Stegostoma tigrinum: one gene and its partners. The protein of the gene in region 3 interacts with the protein of the main gene of each other region in a pairwise test. Links are inferred from orthologs where the notes say so. Each region holds a gene or a part of one and is shown on either strand. Other genes may lie near its edges.

Region 1 (6,938 bases), on a different chromosome or scaffold from region 3:
TATCTCGATATAAAACTGGCTGTCCAACAGAAGACAGAGGGTGGTAGTAGATGGAAAGTATTCAGCCTGGAGCTTGGTAACCAGTGGTATTCTGCAGGGATCTGTTCTGGAACCTTTGCCATTTGTGATCTTTATAAATGTCTTGGATGATGAAGTAGAAGGGTGGGATAGTAAGTTTACCGATGACACGAAAGCTGGTGGAGTTATGGACAGGGTGGATGGCTGCTGTAGGTTGCAATGGGACACTGACAGGATGCAGAGCTGGACAAAGAAGTGGGAGATGGAACTCGATCCAGAAAAGTGTGAAGTGATTCATTTTAGAAGGTTGAATTTGAATGCAGAATACAGAGTTAATGGCAGGATTCTCAGCAGTGAGGAGGAACAGAGGGATCAGCCCATGGTGTTAGGATAAGGGGTTGACTGTTTAGGACAGAGATGAGAAATAAAAAAAATTTGCACCTGGTGTGATGAGGACATGTTGGTTAATCTTTGCAATTTTCCATTCTTGAAGGTAGAGATTCCCTGTCCAGAGATCCCATAAAGTTGCTACCCAAGTTGAGTGAGTTGAGGCTTTTGGTGTTGGCTTTCATTGGCAGGGGAATTACCTTACCATGAGGTTATGCTGCAGTTCTATAAAACTCCGGTTAGCTCACATTTGGAATGTTGTGGTCAGTTCTGGTCAACTCATTATAGCAAAGGTGTGGAAGCTTTAGAGAGGGTGCAGAGGAGATATACCAGGATGCTGCCTTGACCGGAGGGCAGGTGTTATAAGGAAAGGTCGAGGGAGCTTTTCATTCTGGCGAAGAAGGATGAGAGGTGACTGGATAGTCAGAGACACTTTCCCAGGGCGGAAATGACTATTTTGAGGGGGCATAATTTTAAGGTGATTGGAGGAAGGTGCAGGGGAGATATCAGAGGTAGGTCCTGCACACAGAGTGGTGGGTGTGCTGAATGCGCAGCCAGCAGTGGTAGTGGAGCCAGATACTTTAGAGACTTAAGCGACTCTTGGATAGGCGCATGGAGCCTAGTAAAATGTTGGGTATGCAGGGAAAATTGATCTTAGTAGGATAATAGATCGGCACAACATCGTGGACAGGAGAGCCTGTACTATGTTGTACTGCTCTATGTTCCATTACTATTTTCAAAATGAGCAACAATTGTCATTGAAAAAACCCACTACTATACTGCTTTGATTGACAGGCCATCTTCCTCAGATCAATAAACATAAATGTAGCCAGGATGCATGCAGTTCCAAAATGAGTTCTTTGTTGACATCTCCTCAAGGGCTATGATGTCAATATGAATGTTTAGCTAAATTTCAAAAGTTACAAATTATTTGAGCACGCTGATCTGATTTTAAAATTCAATTGGCAACTTAAAGTTTAGCAGTCTTAGAGGTGAGATCTTTGTTGATTTTTATAAGAATTTGAGAAAATTGCAAAGCCTCGAATTAATCTTATAAATGGTGCATTCTATCTGCTCCACTGTCAGAAGTGTATAAGTGAAAGCTGTGGTTTTTAATCTACTACTTCTATATCACCACGTGGCCCAAGGTCTGCCCATGTTTAATAATGGGTGAATGGCTCTTTAAAAATTCATGGATGTGGGCATTGTTGGCTAACCAGTAATTATTGCCCATTCTAAACTGGCCATGAGTCAACGACATTACTATGAGTCTGGAGTCACATGTAGGCCAGACAATAACAGGAGCAGTTTCCTTCCCAAATACAATAAAACATAGGATAAGAATTAGGCCATTCAGCCCATTGAGTCTGCCTTGCCATTCAATCATTGCTGTTATGTTTGTCAACCCCAAGCTCCTGCCTTCTTCCCATTACCCTTGAAACCCTTACCATCAAGAACCTATCTCTATCTCGAATAAACGCAATAATTTGGCCTCCACTCCCTCTGCAGCAATGAGATCCCCAGGTTCACCACTCTTTTGCTGAAGAAATGCCTCCTCATCTTATCTCTAAAGGGTCATCCATTCACTGAGGCTGGGCCCTTCAATCCTAGTCTCACCTATAGTGGAAACATCTTTGCCATGTCCATCCTTCTGGTCTTCTGCAGCATCCGCCTTTCTTCAACATTATCTGACCCTCAACCTACCTAAAATGACATTAATGAATTAGATCAGGTTTTCTTGACAATCGACAATGATGTCATCGGACTCTTAATTCCAGGCTTTTAGTGAATTCAAATTCTCCAAGTTGCTGTGGCCAGATTCAGTCTGTAGAACATTATCTGGGTCTCTGAATTAATAGTCTCCTAATGCTAAATAATATTCCTAATACAATTGCTTCCCCATCATAATGTCAAATATAGGTTCTGTGTCTTTCATTCGAAAAAGAGACAACTGTGGAGCCTAAAATTTTTCCAGTGTTTCATAAGAATTGCCTGCAATGTGTCAAATTTAAGAGCCGGCAATTTTGATGATTTTATTTAAGTTTTAATTTTTTTCCCCTTCGGCGGGCAAGCAAGTCTGCAGAAGAAAGCATACAAACTGGAAACTGGAATGACCTCGGGATCCTGCAGAAAGGAATGGGGTAAAGTATCTTGGAATGTCACGCCTGCGCATTACAGGTCCTGGTTTATTACGTCCACAGCTCCCAAAATCAGACATGCGCAGTACAAGAAACTCGCTTGTTAATATTTTATATATAAAACGCACGCGCAGTGCTCCAAACGGCTGCACCTTATTTGGCAAGTGGAGCTGTGTTTGGGTTGCTAACCGGGGCCTACCCACCTGTCGCGGGGATCGACCCAGCTCGTCTGCTTGGTGTTGTGGTCAATGTAGTACAACTTCCCATCGTAGTCGGTCGCCTCTTCCCAACCGGGTGGCAGGGGCAGTTCTCCATTGCCCTTGCTGGGCTTGGGCATAGCGAGCGGCAGGTTGTTAGAAACTCCAGCTCCTCCATGGGAAAGTAAAACGATGAAGGAGAAACGCCGAGTCGCTGCTCCGAGCCGGCGGCACTTCGCCTTGAAACATTCTCTCTCCGAGTTTGTGATAAACAAATGTTATTTTTACCCCCCCCCCCCCCCCCCCCGAGCCCCCGTCCTCCTCACGCCTCCATGTTTATTTGAGCTGAGCGGAGGGAGAAGCTCGAGCGGCCGTTTGGACTCTGCTCGCGCTCCCAACCGAAACGCGCGCACGACCACCCAAAACGTCACCGTCTTTTCGATGTCCCCTTCGTCTCTTTCGGGTTTGCAAACTCCCCCGGTCTGCCCCTACTCCTGCCTCGAGAGTAAAAGTTTCCTTCTCGTTGTGCCCCTGCTGCTGAACCGCTGCCCTGTTCTGGGATTTTTTTCCCCGCGGCTGAGCGACACTGCTTCCAAATACTCTCTGCTTACTGCATGACGTCATCCAGGTTGTCAGTCAGGTACCTTTCTGCCGTAATTACACTAAAAGAAGCGCTGGAGTAGATCGTAATGTGCTTAAACATATTGTCCCCTTCCTCGAATCTACTCACCCCATTTGTCCACCACACCGCCTCCCCCACCTTCAAAAATTGAGTTAAAGGATGGATGTGTTGGAATTGAATAATGTTTTGCTGTGCTTGTAATCTGGTGCTAGTTCTGTCTCACTTGGTGTAATGCTTACCCCTCATTCTACAAGGACTTGGTTTCAAGTGTCATTTCGGTGCAGCAGTGAGGACAATGAGACTCCTGGACGTGCCATATTTCGCATTAGGTTTAAACAGATGCCCTGTGTTTTTCCCCCTCGTGGAGCTAAAACATCCCAGTTTGAGAAGCCCTGATATCCCTCGATAAACGCCACAAAGGCAGATATGCAAACACACAATGCTGGAGAAACTCAGCAGATCTAACATAATTTGGAGAGCGAAAAACAAGAGTTAACATTTCGAACCCGGTATGACTTTTTCAGAATGTGGTCGGCACAACATTGTGGGCTGAAGGGCCTGTTCTGTGCTGTACTGTTCTATGTTCTTTAAAGTGTGTACTGTTTCTCACTCCACGGCTGCCAGACCTGCTGTGTTTTTTTTCAGCAATATGTTCGGTTTAGTTTTCCAGCATACACAATATTTTGCCTCCACTCTGAAACGGTTTGTTATTTCATGTCAAGTTGTTGCTTATAGGAGCTTGAACACAGGGAAATGGCAGTTAAATTGTCTGCGGTCTCTCCTACATTACAGCAGTGACTAAACTTTACCAGTACATAATTGGTTGTAAAGTGCTTTGGAACCTTGTGCTACGTTTTGTTTTTATGGGGAAGTATATACAATCTTGCACTGCAAATGGAGGCCATCCCGGTTATTATACGTGGATAATAAAATGTGAGGCTGGATGAACACAGCAGGCCAAGCAGCATCTCAGGAGCACAAAAGCTGACGTTTCGGGCCTAGACCCTTCATCGGAGAGGGAACTGGAATAAATAGGGAGAGAGGGGGAGGCGGACCGAAGATGGAGAGTAAAGAAGATAGGTGGGGAGAGTAAAGAAGATAGGTGGAGAGAGTATAGGTGGGGAGGTAGGGAGGGGATAGGTCAGTCCAGGGAAGACGGACAGGTCAAGGAGGTGGGATGAGGTTAGTAGGTAGATGGGGCTGTGGCTTGGGGTGGGAGGAAGGGATGGGTGAGAGGAAGAACAGGTTAGGGAGGCAGAGACAGGTTGGACTGGTTTTGGGGTGCAGTGGGTGGGGGGGGAAAGAGCTGGGCTGGTTGTGTGGTGCAGTGGGTGGGGGGGGGGAAGAGCTGGGCTGGTTGTGTGGTGCAGTGGGGGGAGGGGACGAACTGGGCTGGTTTAGGGATGCAGTAGGGGAAGGGGAGATTTTGAAACTGGTGAAGTCCACATTGATACCATTAGGCTGCAGGGTTCCCAGGCGGAATATGAGTTGCTGTTCCTGCAACCTTCGGGTGGCATCATTGTGGCAGTGCAGGAGGCCCATGATGGACATGTCATCTAGAGAATGGGAGGGGGAGTGGAAATGGTTTGCGACTGGGAGGTGCAGTTGTTTGTTGCGAACTGAGCGGAGGTGTTCTGCAAAGCGGTCTCCAAGCCTCCGCTTGGTTTCCCCAATGTAGAGGAAGCCGCACCGGGTACAATGGATGCAGTATACCACATTGGTAGATGTGCAGGTGAACCTCTGCTTAATGTGGAATGTCATCTTGGGGCCTGGGATAGGGGTGAGGGAGGAGGTGTGGGGGCAAGTGTAGCATTTCCTGCGGTTGCAGGGGAAGGTGCCGGGTGTGGTGGGGTTGGAGGGCAGTGTGGAGCGAACAAGGGAGTCACGGAGAGAGTGGTCTCTCCGGAAAGCAGACAGGGGTGGGGATGGAAAAATGTCTTGGGTGGTGGGGTCGGATTGTAAATGGCGAACGTGTCGGAGGATGATGCGTTGTAATCGGAGGTTGGTGGGGTGGTGTGTGAGAACGAGGGGGATCCTCTTAGGGCGGTTGTGGCGGGGGCGGGGTGTGAGGGATGTGTTGCGGGAAATGCGGGAGACCCGGTCAAGGGCGTTCTCGATCACTGGGGGGGGAAAGTTGCGGTCCTTAAAGAACTTGGACATCTGGGATGTGCGGGAGTGGAATGTCTTATCGTGGGAGCAGATGCGGCGGAGGCGGAGGAATTGGGAACAGGGGATGGAATTTTTGCAGGAGGGTGGGTGGGAGGAGGTGTATTCTAGGTAGCTGTGGAGTTGGTGGGCTTGAAATGGACATCAGTTACAAGCTGGTTGCCTGAGATGGAGACTGAGATGTCCAATAAGGTGAGGGATGTGCTGGAGATGGCCCAGGTGAACTGAAGGTTGGGGTGGAAGGTGTTGGTGAAGTGGATGAACTGTTCGAGCTCCTCTGGGGAGCAAGAGGCGGCGCCGATACAGTCATCAATGTACCGGAGGAAGAGGTGGGGTTTGGGACCTGTGTAGGTGCGGAAGAGGAACTGTTCCACGTAACCTACAAAGAGGCAGGCATAGCTGCTTCATCTCCAACTGCCGTCGAGACATTAACCGCCTCAACCTCTCCACCCCTCTCACCCACTCCAACCTCTCCCCCGCAGAACGGGCAGCCCTCCGCTCCAACCCCAACCTCACCATCAAACCCGCAGATAAGGGTGGTGCAGTGGTAGTATGGCGCACTGACCTCTACATCGCCGAGGCCAGACACCAACTCTCCGACACCACCTCCTACCGCCCCCTCGATCATGACCCCACACCCGAGCACCAAACCATCATCTCCAACACCATTCACGACCTCATCACCTCAGGGGACCTCCCACCCACAGCCTCCAACCTCATTGTTCCCCAACCCCGCACGGCCCGTTTCTATCTCCTTCCCAAAATCCACAAACCTGCCTGCCCTGGTCGACCCATCGTCTCAGCCTGCTCCTGCCCCACCAAACTCATCTCCACCTATCTGGACTCCATTTTCTCCCCTTTGGTCCAGGAACTCCCTACCTACGTCCGTGACACCACCCACGCCCTCCACCTCCTCCAGGACTTCCAATTCCCTGGCCCCCAACACTTGATATTCACCATGGACGGCCAGTCCCTATACACCTGCATTCCGCATGCAGATGGCCTCAAGGCCCTCCGCTTCTTCCTATCCCGCAGGCCCGATCAGTCCCCCTCCACCGACACACTCATCCGCCTAGCTGAACTCGTCCTCACCCTCAACAACTTCTCTTTTGACTCCTCCCACTTCCTACAGACCCCAGCTATGCCTGCCTCTTTGTAGGTTACATGGAACAGTCCCTCTTCCGCACCTACACAGGCCCCAAACCCCACCTCTTCCTCCGGTACATTGATGACTGTATCGGCGCCGCCTCTTGCTCCCCAGAGGAGCTCAAACAGTTCATCCACTTCACCAACACCTTCCACCCCAACCTTCAGTTCACCTGGGCCATCTCCAGCACATCCCTCACCTTCTTGGACCTCTCAGTCTCCATCTCAGGCAACCAGCTTGTAACTGATGTCCATTTCAAGCCC
Region 2 (7,683 bases), on a different chromosome or scaffold from region 3:
TTTTCACCTGTCCCACCATTGTTGCTGTCCCAGTAATAACTTGGACTGTTGCAGTCTCAAGTCAAAATGATGCACAGCTGCTTCCACAACACAACACGCACTGCCGCTTGAAGACTGAGGTAGACAGGGGCATTCCCCTGCAAGCGCCAAAACATGAACACCTGCTCCCCGCAGTGAGGGCACAAAGGTGTGTGACAAATCAGCACCAACTTAGCATTTGTCCCATCAGTCAGGTAACAACCATTGTCAAATTATTTTAATAAGGATCAGTTTGCCTGAAATGCGCAGATTACTTATCTGAGCGTTATGCGAACAACATTAGATCTAAAGACCTTAAGTGATAACCAACTTTCTATAAGGAAGCACATGCTCACTTGGGACAAGCATCTTGATAAAACGATGCCTGGGGAAATAAACTCTACGCTTAACTCCTTGCATGACACGTTGGCAACTTGCAAAATACCTTTCACAAAATCGATTTGTTCGTTTAAAATTCCCTTTCTTAGTCTTAAACATTAGAGGAAAACGGGGCGAAAATTGAGCGTAATTTGTCATTCCCCTGAATGAATGACAAAAAAAAAATGAAGTCTGTCGTGTCAAAGCAACAAAGCATCAGATAACATCACTAGCCTCCAGTTCTACTTCAGGACAATCAGCTGTCTTATATCAAGCGGGCACACACCTCTGATCTGGTTGTGTGTGATGGATACACCCCGTTACAATGCTGGGTTTGACCTTTGTGAGTTTTAGCTGGGCACAGAGTTCTCAAGAACTCATTCCAACGTGTGTCATTTAACCAAACATTCCCACAAATGTCATGAAAACATTACCTGTGACAAGTCAAGACTGATTTTGGAAATCATGAAATATGGCACCTAGATCTAAGGACGCACACTGTAAACGAGCGTAAAAGGACAAGTGAACTGCAGAGTGGACAGTGCGAATCAGATTTAAATGGACAAGGCCATCACACTGAAAGAGAAGTAAACGGTTTACCTTCACGTGACTGGGTGGTGATAACGAATCCGTGCGGGTTCCTTGTTTGAAGGTGCCTCCAGCCAGTACCATAGCCCTGCAATCCTCACACGCCCCAACTATCAGCTGCTCACCATCATCCACCACGAGAGTCTCGGCCACTCGAGGGGTATGTAGGAAGACAGGGAGTCGGTTTACCGTGATGGCTTTCAGGCCGAGGTGACGCTTTCTCTCCTGCCTGCAGAAGAAGCAGACAAAGGTGTCCACTTTGTACTGCCGGGACCAGGGGCTGCTGGGATGCTGAGTGTTCTTCCCCCTCCACCACTGCTCTAGGAGGTCATGGTAACACAGGACGCAGGCTGACGCTGGGCTGGTCGAATCTACAGGCCGGACGGTGGCCGTGCGCGGGCGGCTTGCCAGGAACGGAAAGAAGGGCTCACGCTGGCTGTGGCGGCCAGGGGGGTCGACGTTCAACTGGAACTCGCGGCCCGGCTCCAGCTCCGCGCCACACAATAGGCAGACCGTGACCCGGGCCGCCCTGAACACCTGCCCGGTCGCCGGGTTCGGGCGAGGGCCACCGGCGGCGCCGCTCATCCGCAGGTACCGCGTGAGGAAGGCCTGGGCGGACGAGATCAGCTCCTCCCGTCCAGTAGCGGTGTAGGCCCCCCATGTGTCCTTCAACACCGCATAGCAATCGTCACAGCATCGGACCTCCCCGCACTCACTCATCTCCGGGCCGTTCGGGGGACGGGGCAGGAGGCGAATGAACGGAAAGTACATGGGGCCGTCCCGAGCACTGCCACCACCACCACCATTGTCGATGCTCCTCGAACGCACAGCCTTGGCGTCTCTGCTACAGTCCTGGCCGCACAGGTAGCACTCCTGGCCTGGGGTCTCCCTACCGCCACTGGGCTCCCTCTCACCCGGGGGGCTCGTCAGTGCCGTGCCCAGGACTCCGGTGTTCAAGGGCACCATGTACAGCCTCTGCAGTACGGGCACGTTGGCCATCTCAAAGCCCCTCCACTGCTGCATGAGCGATGCGTGGCAGAATGTGCACACCAGGGTGCTGCCCCCGGGGCTCAGGGGGCAAGCCCCGGGCGGGGGTCGGTGGAGCCACAGGAAGGGGAAGAAGGGCCTCCGGCAGGGCCCGCCCTCCTGCTTGTGGACGTGGACCTGGTGCCCAGCGTCCGGGGGCAGGCCGGCACCACACACGAAGCAGGCCGGGCCCCCACCCTTGGCGACCACCCCGCCCCCTCGCTCCCGGGGTCCAGGCGGGTGGGACTCGTCCCCGGAGGAGTCTCCCGCGCCCGGGGGTGCCCGGCGGGCCGGGGTCTCGCTCGGTGGAGAGCGGTGGTCGGCGGTCGGCGAGAGGGGTCGGCCGGCCCGGGGGGAAGGGGCGAGGGAAGAGCCCCGGCGGTGAGTGGGAGCGGGGGTCTCCAGCTCCTGGTCAGTCAGGTCCTGGTCAGACAAGGAGGAGACAGAGGAGTCGAGCGCCTCCTTGCTGCCGTGCCCCACGCTGCAGGCTTCGGGCTCGTAGCTGGGGTTCCACTCCTGGGGCACGGTGCGGCTGTCGCACTGGTGCGGTCTCTTGAGCCAGTACATGCGCTTGTCGACCGGGGTGCGGGTCCTCTCGAAGGATTCCCACTGCTCGCCCAGGAAGCAGCGGCAGACGGAGCAGACCTGTACCCAGCCCTCAGCGCTTACCCCCCGGGCTCCGGGAGCTGGCTCCTGCTGCAGCAGGAACGGGAAATAAGGCGAGCCTCGGCAGCCCCCTGCCCGCACTTGGAGCCGCTGCTCCCGCCCGGGGCTCATACAACCGCCGCAGATGAAGCAGTGCAAGCGGGCGGTGCCGTTCGCCGAGCCGGCGCCGGGGCTCTCCTCCCCGGACTCGAAAGCTGCCATCAGCCGGTGTTTCCTGGAGCGCGGAGCAGCCGCTTCTTTGTCACTCATCATTCGCGCTGGGGGGAGGGAAAGCTGGAGGTGTCTGTAAATCCCCCCCCCCCCCCCCCCTTTAAACACCACCACCCACAGCCCACTCTGCACTCAGCTTCAAGGCGGACTCAGAGCTGTGTGTGTCTGTCTGTCTGACTGACTGTGCTGTCCCCCTCACACAATCTGCTACTAAACTTTGCCCAGCTCCAGGCAGCTAGACAGCGCCATCTCCTAGCGAGCCATCTTCACGGCCCCACAATGCAACTCCTACTCACTTACTCACACACACACACACACACACACAAAAACTTCCAGACCCCACACTTACTTCAAACTTCACACATCCACACCCCCAGGGGAACACACACACACACACACACACACACACACAGAGTATAGCCAGGAGCCTTGCTATCATTCTTCCCAAGAAGATGCAACCACGTCTGTGCCCTGCAGTCAGGTTCAATGGAGAACATTCAAGAAGGTTTTTGATCATTATCTCAGTAGAAACAATGTGCAGGGTTACACGGGGCTGGGCACCGCAAGGCACTCCATTAAAATTCTCACCCAAAAGGTAAAGCAGTAAAACCACCAAATGATGTTCTGAGGAAGTGTAGCCGGACCCAAAATGTTAACTTTTTTTTCCCCTTCACAGATGCTGCCAGACCTGCTGAGCTTTTCCAGCAACTTTGTTTTTGCTCCAAGTGATGTACACTGGTGCAACTTAGTCATAGAGATGTACAGCAAGGAAACAGACCCTTCGGTCCAACCCATCTATGCCAACTGGATATCCTAAATAAATTTAGTCCTATTTGCCAGCTTTTGGCCCATACCTCTCTAAACCCGAGATAACAAAGTGTGAAGCTGGATGAACACAGCAGGCCAAGCAGCATTTCAGGAGCACAAAAGGTGATGTTTCAGGCCTAGACCCTCTCTAAACCCTTCCTGTTCATATACCCATCCAGATGCCTTTTAAATGTTGTCGTTGTACCAGCTTCCACCACTTCCTCTGGCAGCTGAATCCATACATGCACCACCCTCTGTGTGAAAAAGTTGCCCCTTAGGACCTTTTTAAATCTTTCCCTTCTCACGTTAAACCTATGCCCTCTAGTTTTGGACTCCCCCATCCCAGGGAAAAAGGCCTTGGCTATTCACTCTATCCATGCCCCTTATGATTTTATAAACTTCTACAAGTTCGCCTCAGTACAGTGCTCCAGCACCTGCACTTCCAACTTTTTTATTACAAAAAAAGTGTAATTGCTGGATAAACTCAGCAGGTCTGACAGCATCTGTGGGCTGAAAGCACAGTTAACATTTCTGGCCCGGTGACTTTTCGTCAGTTTTTCACTGTATCCATGATCTGGGCTATGCAGACATGATGGATCGAGTGGCCTTCTTCTGCACTCTAACAACTTTCCATTTCACTTGACAGCACCTTAAATGAAAACAATGATATATTTCTCACTTCCCCTCAATAACATCCACATGTGATTGGCCACTAACTCATAAAGAATCCAGAAAGTCCCCATTGCTCCTTTGAGTTAAACTTTCAGCCCTGCCACCTCAAACTCACCCATAAGCATCACACTGTTGTTTACCTTCAGATTACTTGATAACCTGCATCCTTTTCACTCCTCATCCTCCGTAAAGATACAATATATAAACATATATAGACTGGTTATACTCGGCAGAGCCAACAGAGCCTTAGACCTTTTTTCATGAAGGGTCTAGGCCTGAAACACCAGCTTTTGTACTCCTGTCTTCATCCAGCTCCACACTTTGTTATGATAGCCATGTCTAACCCATTTCCCACACTTCTGCCCTCTTCTCTCCCACAACAACAATAGGGTTCTCCTTCTCCTCATTTTCCACCCACCAGCATCCACATCCAAATGATTATAAACTCCCATTTGCACCACCCTCCAGTGAGATGCCACCACCCAATACATATTCCCCTCCTTCTGTTGTTGGCTTTCCACAAGGATTGTTCCATCTGGGACACCCTGGTCCACTCCTCCTCCACTCCCAACACCTCCCTATAATCTCTGAAGGTGTAACATCTGACCATTTACCCCCTCCCACCTCACTATCCGAAGCCCCAGGCACATCTTCCAAGTGAAGCAGTGATTTACTTGTACTTCACTCAATCTAGTCTACTGTATTCGCCGCTCACAATGTGGTCTCCTCTACACTAGGAACACAAAACAAAGACTGGGTGACCACATTGCAGAACACCTATGTTCTATCGGTAAAAATGCCCCTGAGCTTCTGGTTGCCTGCCACTTCAACACATCACTGTGTTCCCTGACCCACGTCTCTGTCTTGGGCTTGCTGCAGCGCTTCAGTGACAGTCAGCCCATGCTGGAAAAAACAGCATTCCATTTTCGGCTTGGGGAGCCTGCAGCCTTCAGGACTCAATATTGAGTTGGATAGTCTCAGAGCATGAACATCTCATTCACTACCCCATCCCATTGCCAACACATTTCAACTAGACTCCATTATGAGCTACCTTGTATTATGTCATGGAGACAGGCAACCAAATCAGATCAGCATTCCTAACTGTGTATTTGCAACATGGTAAATTAAAATGACCCTCAAAATCGATCGCAGTGGTCCCTAACTAAATAACCTGAACCAGACTTAGTCAATAATCAATACAAGACGCCCTGTTTGTAGCTTAAACAAAATATACAATAACTTCTTAATAATACAGTAGCTTTAGCAGAGCAAAGTGAAACAGTAAGATAACCTAATTAATATCTATGATTTATACCCAATAACTTTTGTTTTCAGCTCCATTCACACAAAAAAACAGTAAAAACAAACATAATTAAGGAAAACCAAAAGATGTAAATCAGAAACAAAAACAAAAGTTGCTTGAAAAGCTCAGGAGGTCTGGCAGCACCTGTGAAGAGAAATTAGAGTTAACGTTTCTGGTCTTGTGACCTTTCCTCAGAACATAAAGAAAGAATAAATCAAAAGGAAAGGAAAAATAATAAAACTGGCCAGATGATTTCAGCAGTTTGCTTTGCTTCCCAGGTACACAGGTTTGTCTCAATTTGTTTTTTGATGGAGCTCATTGCCACCTTTTCCAGCTCATGCTAAGTAAGTTTCAATAACACTAATATCTTTGTTTCTATTCTCTGAACTGCTGATAGTTGATAACGGGAGTTTAGGCGGGGAGCTTTCAAATCTTCATGCAACAGTGTCAAAAGCCAAACTGCCTGTCTCAGAAATCCCCAGTTCAACACAGTTCACAAAAAAACTCTAGTACCTCCCTCTGTTTCATCATCATGTTCTCTCCCAGACTTGTTGGCACCAGTTCCCAGATACTGACCTCATTAGTGGCCTAACATCTGCTATCTGGTTAAGCTAAAGGTTTCACCAGAGTCAAAATATCTTGCAACAAGAAACAACCTGCAATTAACTTTCAGATCTGGCCTCACAAAGAAATAACATTTAGTTTTTTTTGGAAATACACACTGCTGCTCACAGTCCAATGATCACTTTCAGCTCTCAGCAGACAGTTCACAGTCCAAACCAAAAATGATAATGAAAATAAAATTAAGAAAAATTAGCAAGTGTTCCAAGGCTACCTTTTCTTCTTTCCTGATTTACTACCAACAATCTCTTTGTCTGCTTTCCCTTTTCTTTCTTTCTCTGGGCTCTGGCTCCACCTATCCACTCACCCCTTTCCTCACCAACCCCCACTCTTCTCCTTTACACAGCTGCTATTAGTTAGGAAGAAGGGTCACTGGATTTGAAACATTAGCTGTTTTCTCTCAACAGATGCAGACCTGCTGTATTTCTCCAGCAATTTCTGTTCCTGTTCATTTCAGAGCAGTCAGGATGTCTGTTCAAGGAGTTTTTGGGTTAAAGAAAGTGTCGCTACTGGCATTAAAACACTTATCCCTCTGAAAATCTTCAACAAAATTGCCTGAAATTGAAATCCCTGTGCCCAGATGCTGCTTCAGAAATTTCCCTCCCCACCACCCATGCATTTTGATTGTTAAATTGTGGAGTGGATTGCAAAATGCAATTTAAGCAGAAAAATTGAATTGATTATGCTTTTCCACTTACCTTCCTGTTGGATATGCAAATAATTTTATCAGTATAAACAAAGCTCCAACAAGCCTTCACTTTTTGACTGGGCTCCTTGCTTAGTTTATTCCAGTGCCCAGACGTGCGATTTATTAAGCACAACATTGAGAATTGAGTGTCAGGTATTCATTAGTTAATCCAACCTAAGTTCCCTAAAATAGCTGGACTTTGGATAACCTGCATTTCAACAACAGACCTACATATAAATGATGATTTAACTTGCATTTAAATATCACCTTCTACACCTGCAAGGCAGAATTGATTATTTCTGACATGTAGTAATGTTTTTAGGGAACCTGACAGCTGATTTGCTCCCATAATAATATTCTACAAACAGCAATGAGATTAGATGTACAGGTTTGACTATATTGGCAAGAGTACAAATGTTAGCCAGGACAACATAGGGAATCTTTACTGTTCCTTTTAAAAGTGACACAAGGTATTAAATGTTCACAAAATTGTCAAGTCTTAATCCTGTAGCTTTGGTTTTGAAAGAGGCAGTTTTATGCCCATTTGAATTGAACAGATCAACCTAAAAAGCAACACGCCCGCCTCCTTGGTGCCATTACAAAGTGATAATCTAAATGACATGCTCAGGTTCCAGGTATGAAGCTTTCACCAGAAAATTCTGAATTCAACACAAGGCCAAGCTGCCAACACAGATAAATAAAGTTA
Region 3 (7,049 bases):
TCCACGCAAAACACCTTACTGATTTGGAAGGGCAGGCACGAACTCGCTCCCAGACAAAACAGATCGAGATTCCCGCTCCATTTTCATGCGCTCAAGACAAGCTGGAACCAAACTCAGCAGCTCCAACCATGTAAGATAGTGACCATGTAATATTCACATTCCAAGCCAGAGGGGCCAACATCAGACCTCGGATAGCATTCAGTGACGACTGGCTTCTTTCAATCACACTCGCAAGCTGTGGAAATCAGCGCGGGCCGGCCCCACAGTCAGCCTCACCCCAATGCTATCCAACCTACTTTACTCACGTGTGGGCAGTCTGTTTTCACCTAACACCGCTACAACACAACCAACGACACAGACAGAGGCCGTTCAGCCCGACCTGGCGGTGTTGACAATTGCTCCCTCCGTCCCCATATGAGGAAGTGGTTCCAGTCACATTTACACACGCCCATTTCCCCCACCCAACTCAATTCGGAATACCTGAGCCGCTAAACTCAAAATACTAACCCTCGGGTGGGGGATGGCAACAACTTTGTGCATTTACATAGCACCTTTCATGTATTTAAATGTTCCACGGTGCTTGTCATTAAATAGATTGTGGCACTCAGCTGCATAGGGAGATGTTGGGACATACGGCCTAAAGCTTGGTCGAAGACATTGGCCTTAATGATTGGCTTACAGCTCTCGTCTCCCAGTCCCCCTTTCAGGAGTGGATTCCAGAACTTAAGAGTTCAGGCTGTAAACAGAAGTTTCCTTAATGGTGAGATTAAAATCCTCAGGGGGCAAATATTGGAAGGCAGCAGCGATCTCGGAGGGTTGTACTGAGCTTTCAGAGCGGCGAGACGGTGGAGAGAGATGAAAACAAAGATCTCTCCTTTTGGCAGAGAGTGACAGCTCTGCTGAAAGACTTCACAAATTCCTGCTGTCAGTTTGCCAAACTGGTAGTGAATGGAGGGAAGTAGCGCTTTGTTGGGTTAACCTGTGCTTCTTTTGCACTGGCTTTCTCACTTGCCTCAATAAACCACACAAACAGAAACTGGGAGAGAGGGCACTGAACCTGAAATCTCGATTTCTTCCCCCCCCTCCCCCACCAACATGCGCCCTGACACGACAATATCTTTGAAAATGCCAAAAGCAGAATTGTTCAGACATGCTATAGCAAATCAAGAGATAATTAGCCAGAAAGCTCCTTCAGTGCCTCGGAACAAAGCCCCTACACTACACTCCGAAGTGGCTCCACAACAGATGTTTATGATAATCATGCACACTAAACAATGGAAATATCACCATTATCAAATTCCACAACGATCAGCTCCCTCCCCACTCAAGTTCCCCTTCCCACACTCTTCCCCATCCTAATTCTAACCGCCCCCCCCCTCCAACACCAACTACCCCATTCCCTTCCTTGCAGTCTCCCTCTCCATCTCTTCCCGGTCTTTTCTCGTGTCTTTCTCAACCAGACACCGCTATGCAGGGCTACCATGCACAATAATCAGGGTCATTACAGATCGTTTAAAATGTTCACGAATCTCTCTCTTCTTCTGACCAGATGGCCAAAACTGAAATGTCCCAAGTTTCGACAGGCTATTTTAGGCTCACAAACAGTAGTGATTTTTTTGTTTGGTATCCAAACGATTCCTTCCCTTCGAAGCATTATGTTAGTGAACGCCTGTCGCTGATGACAGCTCCTATTGCCGTAGCCATTAAACCATTCAGGGTCTTGTGCATGGGATCCAGACAGAGGTGGAATCTCTCATCCGCTAGCTTTCCCTTCAGGACCCTTTGACCACCACCTCCCTAACAGCAAACACATTTTGTGTAGGCTGAATGAAACAGCACGATACCCCTGGCCCAAGCTTCTCTTCCTTTATCCAGTTGTATTTTATTTTCCTCTCTATGTTATTATAAAAGCTGAGGCTGCCCCGTACCTGGTCTCTGACCAGCAATCTCAATTTCGCGAAATGCTTGAAAATAAGCAACAATTCACTTTCTGCAGAGAAAATTGAAGGAAGCTCTCCAACCGGAGGCTTTACAAACGCATGTTATGAAACATCGTCTCGGTTTGGGAGCGCCCACAAACACACAAGGTAACAAATGCCTTCAAATTGAAACAATTCACTGCGGGAATGAGGGAGGGTGGTGTTGGACGGCGCGGGGGGTGGGGGGGGGAGGAGGTGTAGTCGATGAATGAAAAAAATCTAAACAGGTTCCATTTCACCCCATTCATTGTGACATTGGCGTACAGTGAGCTTAATGGAATGATGAGCTTAACACGTTACACATAAACACAAGCAACTCGGTTTAGACGTGTTATTTATCCTTCCTGCCAATTTGCTACAATTTTGAGACAGGACAGGAAATGTAGATTGTAACATCGCACATCTTTGTGACACACAACTGCTACATTGGTGTGTTGGAGATTGTGACAGTGCTACAGAGGGAACAATGTATCTCCCGGAAGAAAGCAAAATCTGGCACGAGGAGAGCTCTGATCTGGGTTACTCACCCTCAGAGCCGAGAGGTCGATTTCATCCAAGCTTCGCGCTGGAGAGTCGCTCGCCATGTTAATTTCACCCGAAAACTGACACAGCCCGGAGCTTAGTCTTGTCTCTCTCCCACTCTCTCTCGTCACTGCTTTTGTAACGATTTAAAACATATCCTTCCGCTCAATGACACACAATCAATAAGACAGGTCTTTTACATGTGAAAAGAATAACGGCGGGGGGGTTCGGTTTTAATTTGTCCTAATTTCTGGTTACACCACAGGAGACAGGGAGTTAAATTACTGCAGTCCTATTCTGTGAAGGGTCCTGTTCAGAACAACTGCTCTCTGCAAAGCGCCCACACAATATATAGCACACACACACACACACACACACATAGCAGGGCTCTGCAGAATCTGTCAATCACAGCATCCGGGGAGGAGACAAACAGCAACACGCGTATCCTTCACCAGCGAGAAACTGCTTCGCTTTCAAGCAACTGCAAACAATCTTCAAGAGCACGTTGTCGCTGAGAGAGGACAAGCAGGCAAGACACAGTAACGAAAGCATGGCAGCCTCCTTCCTTAAAAGAATCTGTACTGAGGATCTTGTGCAACACCCCTACCCCAACCACAAACCACCACTACTATCACTTGAAATGTCATGTTCCTGAAACACTTCACCCATCTGTCGCCGAGGGGAGGGTTAAATTCTGGGAGTAGGTTGCACGAGCAGGTTTGCAATTCCCTTCGGCGCTTGAGCGGCGTGTGAGGTTATCAGTGGCAGACAGGAAACGTGAAGCTGAGAATGCGGTGAGCCATAATCTTATTCAATGGCAGAATTGGAATTGGGGTGGCCTGAGGGACGGCTATGCTCCCGATTCCTATGTTCAGACCACGGCCTTTGCGTTTTGATACAAATGAGTGGTCAGACCGTTCCAAGAAGCAGTTAGGAGTCAGCCACATTGGTATGAGTCTGGAGTTACATGTGGGGCAGATCTGGTGAGGATGGCAGATTTCCTTCCCTAAAGTACTTTAATAAGCCAGATGGGATTTTATGACAATCAATGAACATTGCCGTGGTATCATTACTGAGTCTAGTGTTATGTTCAGTGTTTTTAAATTACATTTAACTTTCACTAGTTATCATGATGAGATGTAACCCTGTGTCCTCAATAGCTTAGGCATCTGCAAGTTGCATACTTCATCCTGAATTGGAACAATTTCCTTGTTCCTTAAGAGTGGTAGGGTCAAAACCTTGTAACTTGTTTCCCAACTGCATTCTAGCTGTCATCGCACCAAATGGACTGCCAGAATGTGGCTCAATACCACCTTCTCAAATGTGTAATGAATGCTGATCCAGACAACGACACTCACATCCTGTGAAAGAATTATGTGAGATGTTTAAGAAGATAAAAAAAAGTTAGAGTAAACCTATAACTTAGCTGCCCACATCTAATTCACACCAAGTAACAATGCTCACAATTATATTGCCTTGATTTACATTAGCAATATCTCAATTACAAATGCTTATTCTTGTGGTAAATCTGTCCATTGCCTCAACCCAACATATTCCAGTAATATCCTTAATTACAATTATCTCTGCCCTCCTCCAATCCTGGCTTTCTGTACAACCCCGTAGATTATGCTCTACCATTGACAGCTGTGCTTTCAGGTGCCCAGGATAGGGCAGACAGTGGACTAGTGGTATTATTAGGGGTCTGTCAATCAGAGACTCGGGTAATGGTCAGGGGACCTAAGTTCAAGTCCTGCCTGGTAGAGGATGTAATTTGAATTCAACAAAAAGTAGTTCTGGAATTAGGAGTTGATTGATGATTATGACAGCAATGTGGTTGGCCCTTAACTGCCCTCTGAGATGGGCAATAAATGCCAGCCTAGCCTGCCACACCCTCATCCCTTGAATGAATTATTAAAAAGCTGTAATCTCTGCAATTCTCTCCTGGACTTATTTTCCCCTTAAAACCTAATCTTTGATCAAGCTTTTGCATTTTAGGAAATCCTTGGCATTCTTGTGAAGCATGTTAGGATGTTCAACCAAACTAAAAATGCAAACATTGTTGCATGTTTTAATTAACATGTATATAGTCATATGAAGTTTTGGATCAGATGCAATATAAACCTGTAGTGTGTAACATCAATAGTCAATCATATTCAATCCTTTTCTTATACAGTACCGTTAGAAATTTGTTTGCCTGCATTTACATTGGAACTTGCCTCTGTAAATGCCTAAGTCCCTTTTAAATCTTTCCTCTCTCACCTTAAACCCATGCCCTCTAATTTTGGACTACCCCACTCAAGGAAAAAGACCTTAGCAATTCAGCTGATCCAGACTCCTCATGATTTTATAAATCTCCAAAAAATCTCCGTTCAGCTTCCTGCGCTGTAGGGAAGATAGCCCCAGTCTGTTTAGCTTCTCCCTGTAGCTGAAATCTTCTAACCCTGACAACAGCTTTGAAAATCTTTTCTGAACCCTTTCAAGTTTAACAACATCTTTCCTGTAGCAGGGAGACAAGAATTGAACGTAGTATTCCTAACAAATTTCATGTGCAGCTGCAACATGACATCCCAACTCAATACACTGACTAATAAGGGCAAGTGTACCAAACGCCTTCTTCACTACTCTGGCCACCTGTTACTCCACTTTCAAAGAACTATGAGCCTGCACCTAAGGTCTCTTTGTTCGGCAACCCTGTCCAGGACCCTACCATTAACTGTATAAGTCCTGCTCTGATTTGCCTGACCAAAATGCAACACCTCACACATCTAAATTTAATTCCATCTGCCACTCCTCCCCCCATCTGGTCAAGGTCCCATACTCTGAGATAACCTTCTTCACTACCCACTACACCACCAATATTGGCATCATCTGCAAACCTACTGACCATACCTCCTACATTTACATCTAAATCATTTATAAAAACAACAAAAATTAGTGACCCAGCACTGATCCTTATATCACACCATTGGTCACAGACCTCCAGTCCTCCTCTCTCTGTCTTCTACCTTCAAGCCAATTTTATATCCAAATGCCTAGCACCCCCAGATTCCATGTGATCTTAACATACTAACCAGCCAGCCATGCAGGACCTGTTGAACACCTTTCTCAATTCCATATAGCCAACATCCACTGCTCTGCCTTCATCAATCTTCTTTGTCGCTTCTTCAAAAAAAAGCTCAACCTAGTTAATGAGACATGACATCTCACACACAAAGTCATTTTGACTATCCCTAATCAGTCCTTGCCTTTCCAAATACATGTAAATCCTGTCCCTCACAATCTCTTCCAACAACTTACCCACCACTGATGTCAGGCTCACTGATCTATAGTTGTATGGCATTTCTTTGCCACCTTTCTTAAATAGTGGTGCTATGTTAGCCAACCTCCAGTCTTTCAGCACCTCACCAGTGGCTATCAGTGATGCAAATAGCTTAGGCAAAGGCGCAGCAATCACTTCCAATACTTCCCACGAGGTTCTGGGAAGCACATGATCATGTCCAAGCACTTTATCCATCTTTATGAGCTTTACGATGTCCAGCACCTCCTCTTCTGTAATATGGACGCCTTTCAAGATATCACTGTATATTTCTGCAAGTTCTCTAGGTTTGATAATCTTCTCCAAAGTAAAACCTGATGCAAAATACTCTTTTAGTATCTCACCCATCTCCTGTGGTTCCACACATAGATGGTCTTGTTGATCTTCAAGGGGCCCTATTGTCTCCCTGGTTACTCTTTTGCCCTTAATGCATTTGTAGAATATCTTTGGATTCTCCTCAACTCTTCTTGCTAAAACCATCTCATGTCCCTTTTTGCCCCACTGGTTTCCCTCTTGAGTATGCTCCTACTGCCTTTATACTCCACTAGGGATTTGTTTTATCCCACCTTATATCTAAACATGCCTCTTTTTTCTTGACCGGAGCTTCAAATTGCCTAGTCAAACAGAATTGATGACATGTCTATCCTGGGCCTCCTGCAGTGCCACAATGATGCCACCCGAAGGTTGCAGGAACAGCAACTCACATTCCGCTTGGGAACCCTGCAGCCCAATGGTATCAATGTGGACTTCACAAGCTTCAAAATCTCCCCTTCCCCCACTGCATCACAAAACCTGCCCAGCTCGTCCCCACCTCCCTAACCTGTTTTTCCTCACACCCATCCCCTCCTCCCACCTCAAGCCGCACCTCCATTTCCAACCTACTAACTTCATCCCCCCCTCCTTGACCTGTCCGTCCTCCCCAAACTGACCTATCCCCTCCCCACCTATACACTCCTCTCCACCTATCTTCTCCTCTAACCATCTTCAGTCCGCCTCCCCCTCTCTCCCAATTTATTTCACAATCCTCTCCACATCCCCATCTCTGATGAAGGGTCTAGGCCCGAAACGTCAGCTTTTGTGCTCCTGAGATACTGCTTGGCCTGCTGTGTTCATCCAGTTCCACACTTTGTTATCTTGCCTGCACATACCAGCCTTGCCCTTCATACTAACAGGAACATACAGACTCTGAACTCTCATTATCCCATTTTGAAGGCCTCTCCAGTTTATTCAAG
Region 4 (7,669 bases), on a different chromosome or scaffold from region 3:
ATGATGGAACACTTAACAAGAAAGACTACAAAGCTGAAGGCATTTTCTTAATTTCTTCATTTTTCTGCCTTTATATTCTAGCTTTGGCTTACCTTTCTGTGTTTTAACATGGCAACGGAAAGCAAAGACACTGTATAACACTTTTTCTCCTGCATTTTGTAACAAAAAACATATAACAATAAACAAAATAAATAAAACTTGTTCTGTCATTCGGTTAGATTATGTGTGATCTTCAAAAGACTTCTCCAAACCTGAGTCTCTGAACCATGCCTGGAGCATTAATTTTCATCTTGGTACACCAGGGATTTAGCATGCTGAAACTGCTTTGTAAATGAACAATTTCATTGCTGCACATAAAAAGAAAACAAGCAACTGGAAAGTCAAAAGAAACCTTCATTTGTTTTTCATTTAGGGAATAAAAAGGGTGCCCAATTTATTCCTCAGGAATTCAGAGACAGGCACATTCAAAACCAACACTGGCTGGATGAAAAACAAGATACATCCCTTCCACACTTAACAATGTGAATCAACCATTGCTTGACCTTAAACAAGAAAAACAGCGGATGCTGGAAATCAGAAACAAAATAAACCATAAATTACTGGAGAAACTCAGCAGGTCCTTCAATATCTCTGGACAGAAAGCACGAGTTAAAGTTTCCAGTCCAGTGACCCTGCTTCAAAACACAATAGTTCTTGACTCTTGTTTGCGTTTCTTTTGGCACAGTGACAGTGCCCCTATCCCGGGCCAGGAGGCTTGGATGCAAGACCCAGCTGAATTCAGAATGTCTGAACTGGCTGAACATAACTGGTGCCCTGTATAACCGGAAGTGACCGGTTGAGCTGCACCTCAGAGCCTGACCTGTTGATGTGTAGTGCAATCCCAAATCTCCCAGAGGCCAGACACAGGCAGACAGTCTCCTCCAGAGTGACAGGATTTGGCTGCAGTTTAAACCAATTTGGTTTCACCAGTACAGCAAATGTTTAAAACAGAACATTGGAGTGCCAAGCAATCCTGATAATAAACAGGCAGCCCCAGAGGCACTACATGTCAAGACAAATTCTTGCTGGATTTTGTTCTTTCTGCATGGAGAGTTTGGGGGGTGGGGAGTTCTGTCCACAGCAGGTTGTGTTCTAGGGTCTGCAGTCGAAGTCAGGCATGCGGCAGTAATCCCCTCACCAACACCACCCCCCCCACCACCGCCCTGTTCCAGGAGGGTTAACCGAGAGGAAAAGACCGCATGCAACTACCGCAGTGCAATTCTAGTCTGTAGCCACAGCGTGGCTCTACCTCCTTTCCCTATCTCCCACCGTCTCACCTGTCAGCCCCCACCAACCTCTCCCCTTTCAAAAAAAAACAGAAAGCAACCCCAAACCAGGCACCCAGCTGGGGCGGAGGAGCCGCCTGCCTCGTTACTGAGCACCGCGCCCACTGCTCAGAGACACGAAAGGTGGGGGAACGAGTGTGTGTTTGTGTGTAATAGAGATAGAGGATCAACCACACTCACCCCCTAGCACCCCTCCCCCAGTAAACAGCATCTTCTATTTATGCTCTTGTAGAAATCTCCCAAACAGACCCTCCAAGACTGCAGAATGGGCCATTATAACGTGCTGCACTGCAGCCCTTTAGTAACACAGGGCTAGCCAAATGCGGCAAGGCGAACCCCATGCCAGATTGAGTAAGACAATCAAATTGTGTGTGTGGGGGGAGGGGGGGTGGTAGTGCTGAGGGTTTGTTGCTTTGCTTTTAACCGAGCCCCCCCTTTCTGTGCACCTCTTCCTTCCCAGGGGACTTGCCACTGAAGCTCTGCCTGATGTTACAGCTCAATGCAATCCTGTCTGCAGTCACTTGAACTTAGATGCTCCCTTGAACAGGACATCTCTCGCCTGCTCTGATCCGCAATGGTCCGGTTAAAAGAGACGCCAACTGGGCTAGACTGAGTATATTAACCCACCTGACAAGGCTATTGTTGACAAATATGCCCCATCTGGCCATTAATTCAAAAACAAAGCAAACAAAAAAAATCCACGCCAACACAAATGAACTTCAACAATAGCAGAAAGATATTTTGTACCACAATATGTTTTTTTTGCACAGCTGAAATGAACAGTTTTGTTGAATCGAAATGTAACATATTTTCGTTTTTTAAAAAATGCACAAAACCTCACAGATGAAATGTCATTCCTCAGAAATGAAAAGTTTTGCAAGTTTGCAATTCTAACTCGCAGTGAAATGCGCGTAGGAAATGCGAGGAGACGGAATGGAAGTTGTTTCATTTTACCTGTGGGTCATCCCGGTTCTGCAGCCTCTCCTTGCCGTTCGCCGTGGTGATTTGTACCCCGGTCGCCAGCGGGCTGTCTCTGACTGTGTCGCCGGAAGCCTCGGCGTTGTCCCGGGACCCCTGAGTTTTACTGGCGCCGCTGGTGCTCCGGGAACTCCGGCGGCCAACGCTCAGTGCGTCGAAATCCAAAGTCTTGCTCTCGTACGCTCCTTCCACCGAGCAGAACATGCCCCCGTATTTCTGCCGGGGGATCTGAGCTGCCGTGCCCGGCCGGGCCAGATAAACCGGCAAGTCATCCTCCTTATCCCAGATCCTCCTACCCTCAGCCATTGGGAATCTGCCTGGGCTCCAAGCAAAGGTGGAAGGGGCTACAAAAGCTTGGTTTTGTTTCCCTGCTGGGGGTGGGTGAGAGGAGAGGGGGCTGGTGGGTGCTGGAGGAGGTTTTAGGAGGAGAGGCAGATCAGAAAGACTGAAATGGGGGAGTCAGAAAAACTGAGCCTGCGAGTGGCAGACTGCTTCTGAAATCCCCTGACACGGAAGTGATAAGGAGGCGTGAGCCACAGACTGAGTGGATTTTAAAGTGCAGTTAGCTCCACCGTGTTGTATTTCTCTCTCTCTCTCTCATTTGCTTGTGGTAATTCACAGGCGCCGCTCCATCAGTTCGAGTGAGGACAATCTCCAGGGGCTCTTTTTTGTGACAGTGGAGGGTGGGATATGGGAGTGAGTGGAGAGAGCGCAGAGAGAGAGAGCCCTGAAATCACAGCTCACTACAAGCACATTTCTCAAAGGTTACGTTTTATTTATTCTCTTTTTTTAAGAGACGCCCTCAAAGCTCACAAATGTACGCAATTTAGCACTACCCATTCCTTAAAGGGGTCAGGAGAAACGGAACAGATTGTCTGAGTTCCCCCCCGCCCCCCGCCCCGCGATCCTGTCTTCTGGGAGCAGGCTTGACAATCCAATTGACTTTTTGAGTGAACTTGCTGACTCAAACAAGACAATGCAGGTTCCTCTGTCTGCGCTTGTCGTTCTAGCAGCCTCTCTCTCTTTCTGTCGTTCTAACAGCCTCTGTATCTCTTTCTCTGTCGACTTCACAGCCTCTATCTTTCCCTCTGTCTCGGCGTGTGTGTCTTTCTAACAGCCTCTCCCTCTCTGTGTCGTTCTGCAAGTCTCTATCTCTCTCTTCCTCGGTTGCAATCTCGGTTAATCGTGATATGTGCGTGTCTGAATGGCGTCTGAATATATAGGTGGAAAGCAGACACTGTTTGGAGGGAATGCTGATAATGGATGAACTGTGTGGCTACGACAGGGAGCTGGCGGGTAGGTGGGGGTGAAGTGGGACAACTGAGGGAGGTGTTTACTGTGGCAGAGAACGATTGTCCCACACCAGGACATACCTGCATGATTCTGTACCTCTGCCTTGAAAGCTTAAGAAGACCTGAATCAAGAACAAGCTGAAGAGTTCCCAGATTAACTTCCTCGTGAATATTGTTTAAAATCAGAGTGCGCCCCGGAATCTCGAAGATTAAGAGTTCCCAAAAAAAATGTAACTGCACTTGTTGACAGTCATTTGGTCATTTTTTTCAATTGAAACTGCAGTGAGGTCCTCAAAACAGTGAGATTATCTTCAATATAGGCATCGATTTTAATTTAAAATTCTTACTTTCTAAAACAAAAAAAGGTGTTATTTTAAACAATGGAAGCGAGCCCTTTCTTTTACCAATGGTCTTCAACCGGAAAATAGGAAGGCTACGTCCCTTGAGTCCCATCCCGTTGTTATTGCCCCACTTGTAGAGCCAGTGTAAGTCAGAGCAACCGGAGCACGGTAAGATCCCAGGACTCACCCCGCATTTTTGCTCGGGGGCCTGGGCAGCGACCGGGGGAACCGGGCACAGACGCCACTGCCGTTTCCCCGGGCTGTCTCCGGGGCGGGTCGAGCGTTCGGATGCAGCAATAAGGGAACTGTCCTTTCAGCACCCTCCCTGCAGCGCCTCGTTCGCCGAGGCACGCCACCCCCAGCGCAAATGTGAGGAAACGCAAAGCCCACTGCTACCAAGATCCTGACTACCAGCCTGCACCCCCCCCCCCCACCCACACACACACAGACCCTGCCAAATCTGCCTCCCTTCTGCACTGCCGTTTACTCCCTCATTCTGCATTGGAAACAGGAACGGAGTATCATTTGGTTTGGTCATAACGCTTGGACTCTTGCATTGTTTACTCAACCAGGAACAAGACCAGTTGGTATGGTCATGACTTCCATTTAAAATACATTTGGACAAGTACATGTCGCAGCTGTACTGGGCATTGTTTCAGTTACTTTTGGAATACTGCTTTTTAATCCTTCTCCCTGCTACGGGAATAATGTTCTCAAACCTGAAAGGGTTCAGAGAAAGATTTACAGTGATTTCTGAAGAACGGTCCAGACCCGAAACGTTAGCCTTCCTGCTCCTCTGATGCTACCTGGCTTGCTGTGCTCATCCAATTCTGCAACTTGCTATCTTACAACGATGTGGCCAGGTTTGGAGTGTTTGAGCTATAGGAAGAGGCTGAATAGTAAGGAGTTATTTCCTTGGAGTGTCGGAGGCTGAGGGGTGACCTGACAGAGTTTTGTAAAATCATGAGGGGCATTGGTAGCGTGAATAGTCAAGATCTTTTCCCTAGGGTAGGGGAGTCCAAAAAATAGAGGGCATAGGTTTAAGGTGAGAGGGGGAAAATTTAAAAGGGACCCAAGGGGCAACTTTTTCACACAGAGGGTGGTGTGTGTATGGAATGAGCTGCCAGAGGAAGTGGTGGAGGCTGGTACAAAAACAACATTTAAAAGGTACCTGGATGGGTATGCAAAGAGGAAGAGTTTAGAGGGATATGGACCAAATACTGGGTCTGATTCCATGCTGCAAATCTCCATGACTCTATGGCTGTACATGAATAGGAGAAGATTAGAGGGATATGTGCCAAATGTAGGAAAATAGGACTAGTGCAGTTTAGGATACCTGGTCAGCATGGAAAAATTGGACCAAAAGGTTTAATAAGTGTTTTGTCATATTAACACCTTGGTCTAACCATCGCTTTCAGGCCTATGCAAGTAATTTCACCTCCGCTAAGTCCAAAATCAGTATCCAATAAAGAACTCTGTTGGAAACTAAAATACTGTGATGTTGGAAAGCTGAAACAAGTGCTGGAGAAATTTAGCAGGTCTGGTAGTGTCTTTGGAGAAAGATAGAGAACTTCTGTCTCCACAGAGAACAAAGTTAATGTTTTCAGAACTCCTAAAGTGAAGTTCTCCATTTCTCTTTGCAGATGTTGCCAGACCTGTTCAGTTTCTCCAATATTGTCTCTGTTTGTTTCAATCAGAAACAACATCGCTGCTCATAGCCATACGTTCAAGCTTCTATGTATGGTTTGGAAATTGCTGAATACATCATAAGTGGAACACATCTTTAAAACCCACTAATTCTTTCAGATGCAATGGACATTAAATGAAAAATAATCCATTTGAAATTAAAAACAATCACTGACAGCTGCTTTGGCCTCAATAAGCCAGTATTAAATGCTTTGTGGCCAACCTTGCCACTGACACTACAGTAAGGGCTGGCTCATATCTTAAAAGAGTCATCACGTTGCCAAGCAGCACAGCATACCAGAAGTGCTTCTCAGTGAGGTCTACTCTCCTGCCTTTTTCCACGGCCTTACTTTTTTTTTCTTTTCAAATAATTGCCCAATTGCCTTTTGAAAGCTACTCCTGAACTTTCAGACATTTTGTTCCAGATGACAATAAGTTGTTGCGCGAAAACGTTCTCCTCATTTCTCTTCTAGCCTTTTGTCAGTTATTTTAAGCCTTTGTTTACTGCTCCACTTGCTCATGGAAATAGTTCCTTCCTATTCACTGTAAACTGGCAATAATTTATGGTAGCTTCGCTCAATCTCCTATTAGTTTTCCCTGCTCTAAGGAAAACAATATTGCTTCTGCTATTCGTTTTCCCCCAAGTATTCCTTGCTCCTATTCTAGCAGGGAATTATCTTAAATTGGACTGTGATCTTTATGAGATTGCAAATCCTTAGCTGTTAATTTAAGGCCATGCCTTGTAGTTCTGCCAATGCAATCTCCTGCATGTCCAGTAGACAAGATGGTTGGTAAGTGTGCTCCCAGTTCTGTTGTAGCAGCAAGTACCATGCAAATATGAAGGACTTCCTTTGTATTTAGAGCCCACAACATTGAGGATTCTTCTGCAGGTGATTCTGGAGTTTGCATTTTGCCATTGCTGCACTGTAAACATGTCCAAATTCCTTATGAGATCCCTTTCAATGTCTTTTGAGCTTTAGAAATGATTCTAAATATGTACTCCGGCAGAAATCTCATTTTAGAGTAGATTTGTAGCTCTCGTTGTGGATGTTGTGGTTGGTTGGTTTGCTGAGCTGGTTCATTGTTCCACAGACGTTTCATTACCCTGCTGGGTAACATCACAATGCAGTCTTTGATGAAGTTCATTGGACGCTGTACTGATGATGTTACCTAGCAGGGTAGTGAAACATCTGCAAATCAACAAACCAGATCTGCGAGCCAACCAACCACAACAGAAATCTCATCTAATATGCCAGCCCTGTGAGGCCAGGACCCCCGATACTCTGCATGAATAACAATGCTTCAATAGTTGAAAGGCACCTGTTCTTCATCCATCATCATGATTTTCTCCTTCATTTCTGTGATTCACCCACTGCTTGAAGTCAATTCTCACTAACTACATTATGGCAATGCTGGCGCTTAGCAAATTAGCCAGAGTATCTGTGAGGCTAGGCATAGTATCTGTGGACTTCAATGTTTATATTTGCTGTTTGGTATACATAGAAGAGGAACAGGTTTCATAGTGCTGAGCCCTTTGAATACTACTTTAATTGCAATGTACTGAACTACGGTTTTGGAAATTAAGTGTTGCTTTGTATAATGGACAAAACCAAAACACCCTTGCAATATATCAAGGAGATAGCCTTGGCATGAACTTTGTTCATTTTATTTAAAGGCAAGTGTGCATTCCTGATGTAATTCAATTAGCCCACCATTAGGCTTTAAGCAGCACATTTTATTCTTACAACAGTTAAATAGTTACACAGTTAAAATATAAACAAAAAAAATTGACATAACTTTAAGTCTTTTGAGCCACTTAACAAAATAACGTTCCAATATTGCAGCATCCCATAAACACACCCTTGGCAAAGACAACTTCAGCAAAATAGGTTTTCCTTATGTGCTATCTCCACTCCAGCCCCAGGAGAAAGGTGCACCAAAAGAAATAATCTAGCAACAGAAAGAGAACTGAAGCTTTTTAAATGCCACAGCAGAGAGAAAAATAACTGTGTCCATCAATTGTAGCAGCCAGCTCCAAACTCCAGCT

Evidence for each region.
Region 1: the proteins of traf2 and NCK-interacting protein kinase (region 3) and protein KIBRA-like interact in a two-hybrid assay, tested with the Homo sapiens proteins (2 studies listed by BioGRID and IntAct). The link is inferred for Stegostoma tigrinum from reciprocal best matches to the Homo sapiens genes TNIK and WWC1.
Region 2: the proteins of traf2 and NCK-interacting protein kinase (region 3) and gse1b interact in a two-hybrid assay, tested with the Homo sapiens proteins (2 studies listed by BioGRID and IntAct). The link is inferred for Stegostoma tigrinum from reciprocal best matches to the Homo sapiens genes TNIK and GSE1.
Region 4: the proteins of traf2 and NCK-interacting protein kinase (region 3) and dihydropyrimidinase-related protein 3-like interact in a two-hybrid assay, tested with the Homo sapiens proteins (2 studies listed by BioGRID and IntAct). The link is inferred for Stegostoma tigrinum from reciprocal best matches to the Homo sapiens genes TNIK and DPYSL3.

What each region holds. Positions count from the first base shown.
Region 1 is NC_081366.1:21,677,142-21,684,079, reverse strand, and holds the start of protein KIBRA-like, read right to left. Parts: upstream 3,013-6,938; 5' UTR 2,881-3,012; coding exon 2,747-2,880; intron 1-2,746. UniProt on the Homo sapiens protein: Regulator of the Hippo signaling pathway, also known as the Salvador-Warts-Hippo (SWH) pathway.
Region 2 is NC_081369.1:53,029,738-53,037,420, forward strand, and holds the start of gse1b (genetic suppressor element 1), read right to left. Parts: upstream 3,014-7,683; 5' UTR 2,929-3,013; coding exon 997-2,928; intron 1-996.
Region 3 is NC_081367.1:57,295,098-57,302,146, forward strand, and holds the start of traf2 and NCK-interacting protein kinase, read right to left. Parts: upstream 3,007-7,049; 5' UTR 2,564-3,006; coding exon 2,507-2,563; intron 1-2,506. UniProt on the Homo sapiens protein: Serine/threonine kinase that acts as an essential activator of the Wnt signaling pathway. Recruited to promoters of Wnt target genes and required to activate their expression. May act by phosphorylating TCF4/TCF7L2.
Region 4 is NC_081366.1:72,847,786-72,855,454, forward strand, and holds the start of dihydropyrimidinase-related protein 3-like, read right to left. Parts: upstream 3,001-7,669; 5' UTR 2,610-3,000; coding exon 2,280-2,609; intron 1-2,279.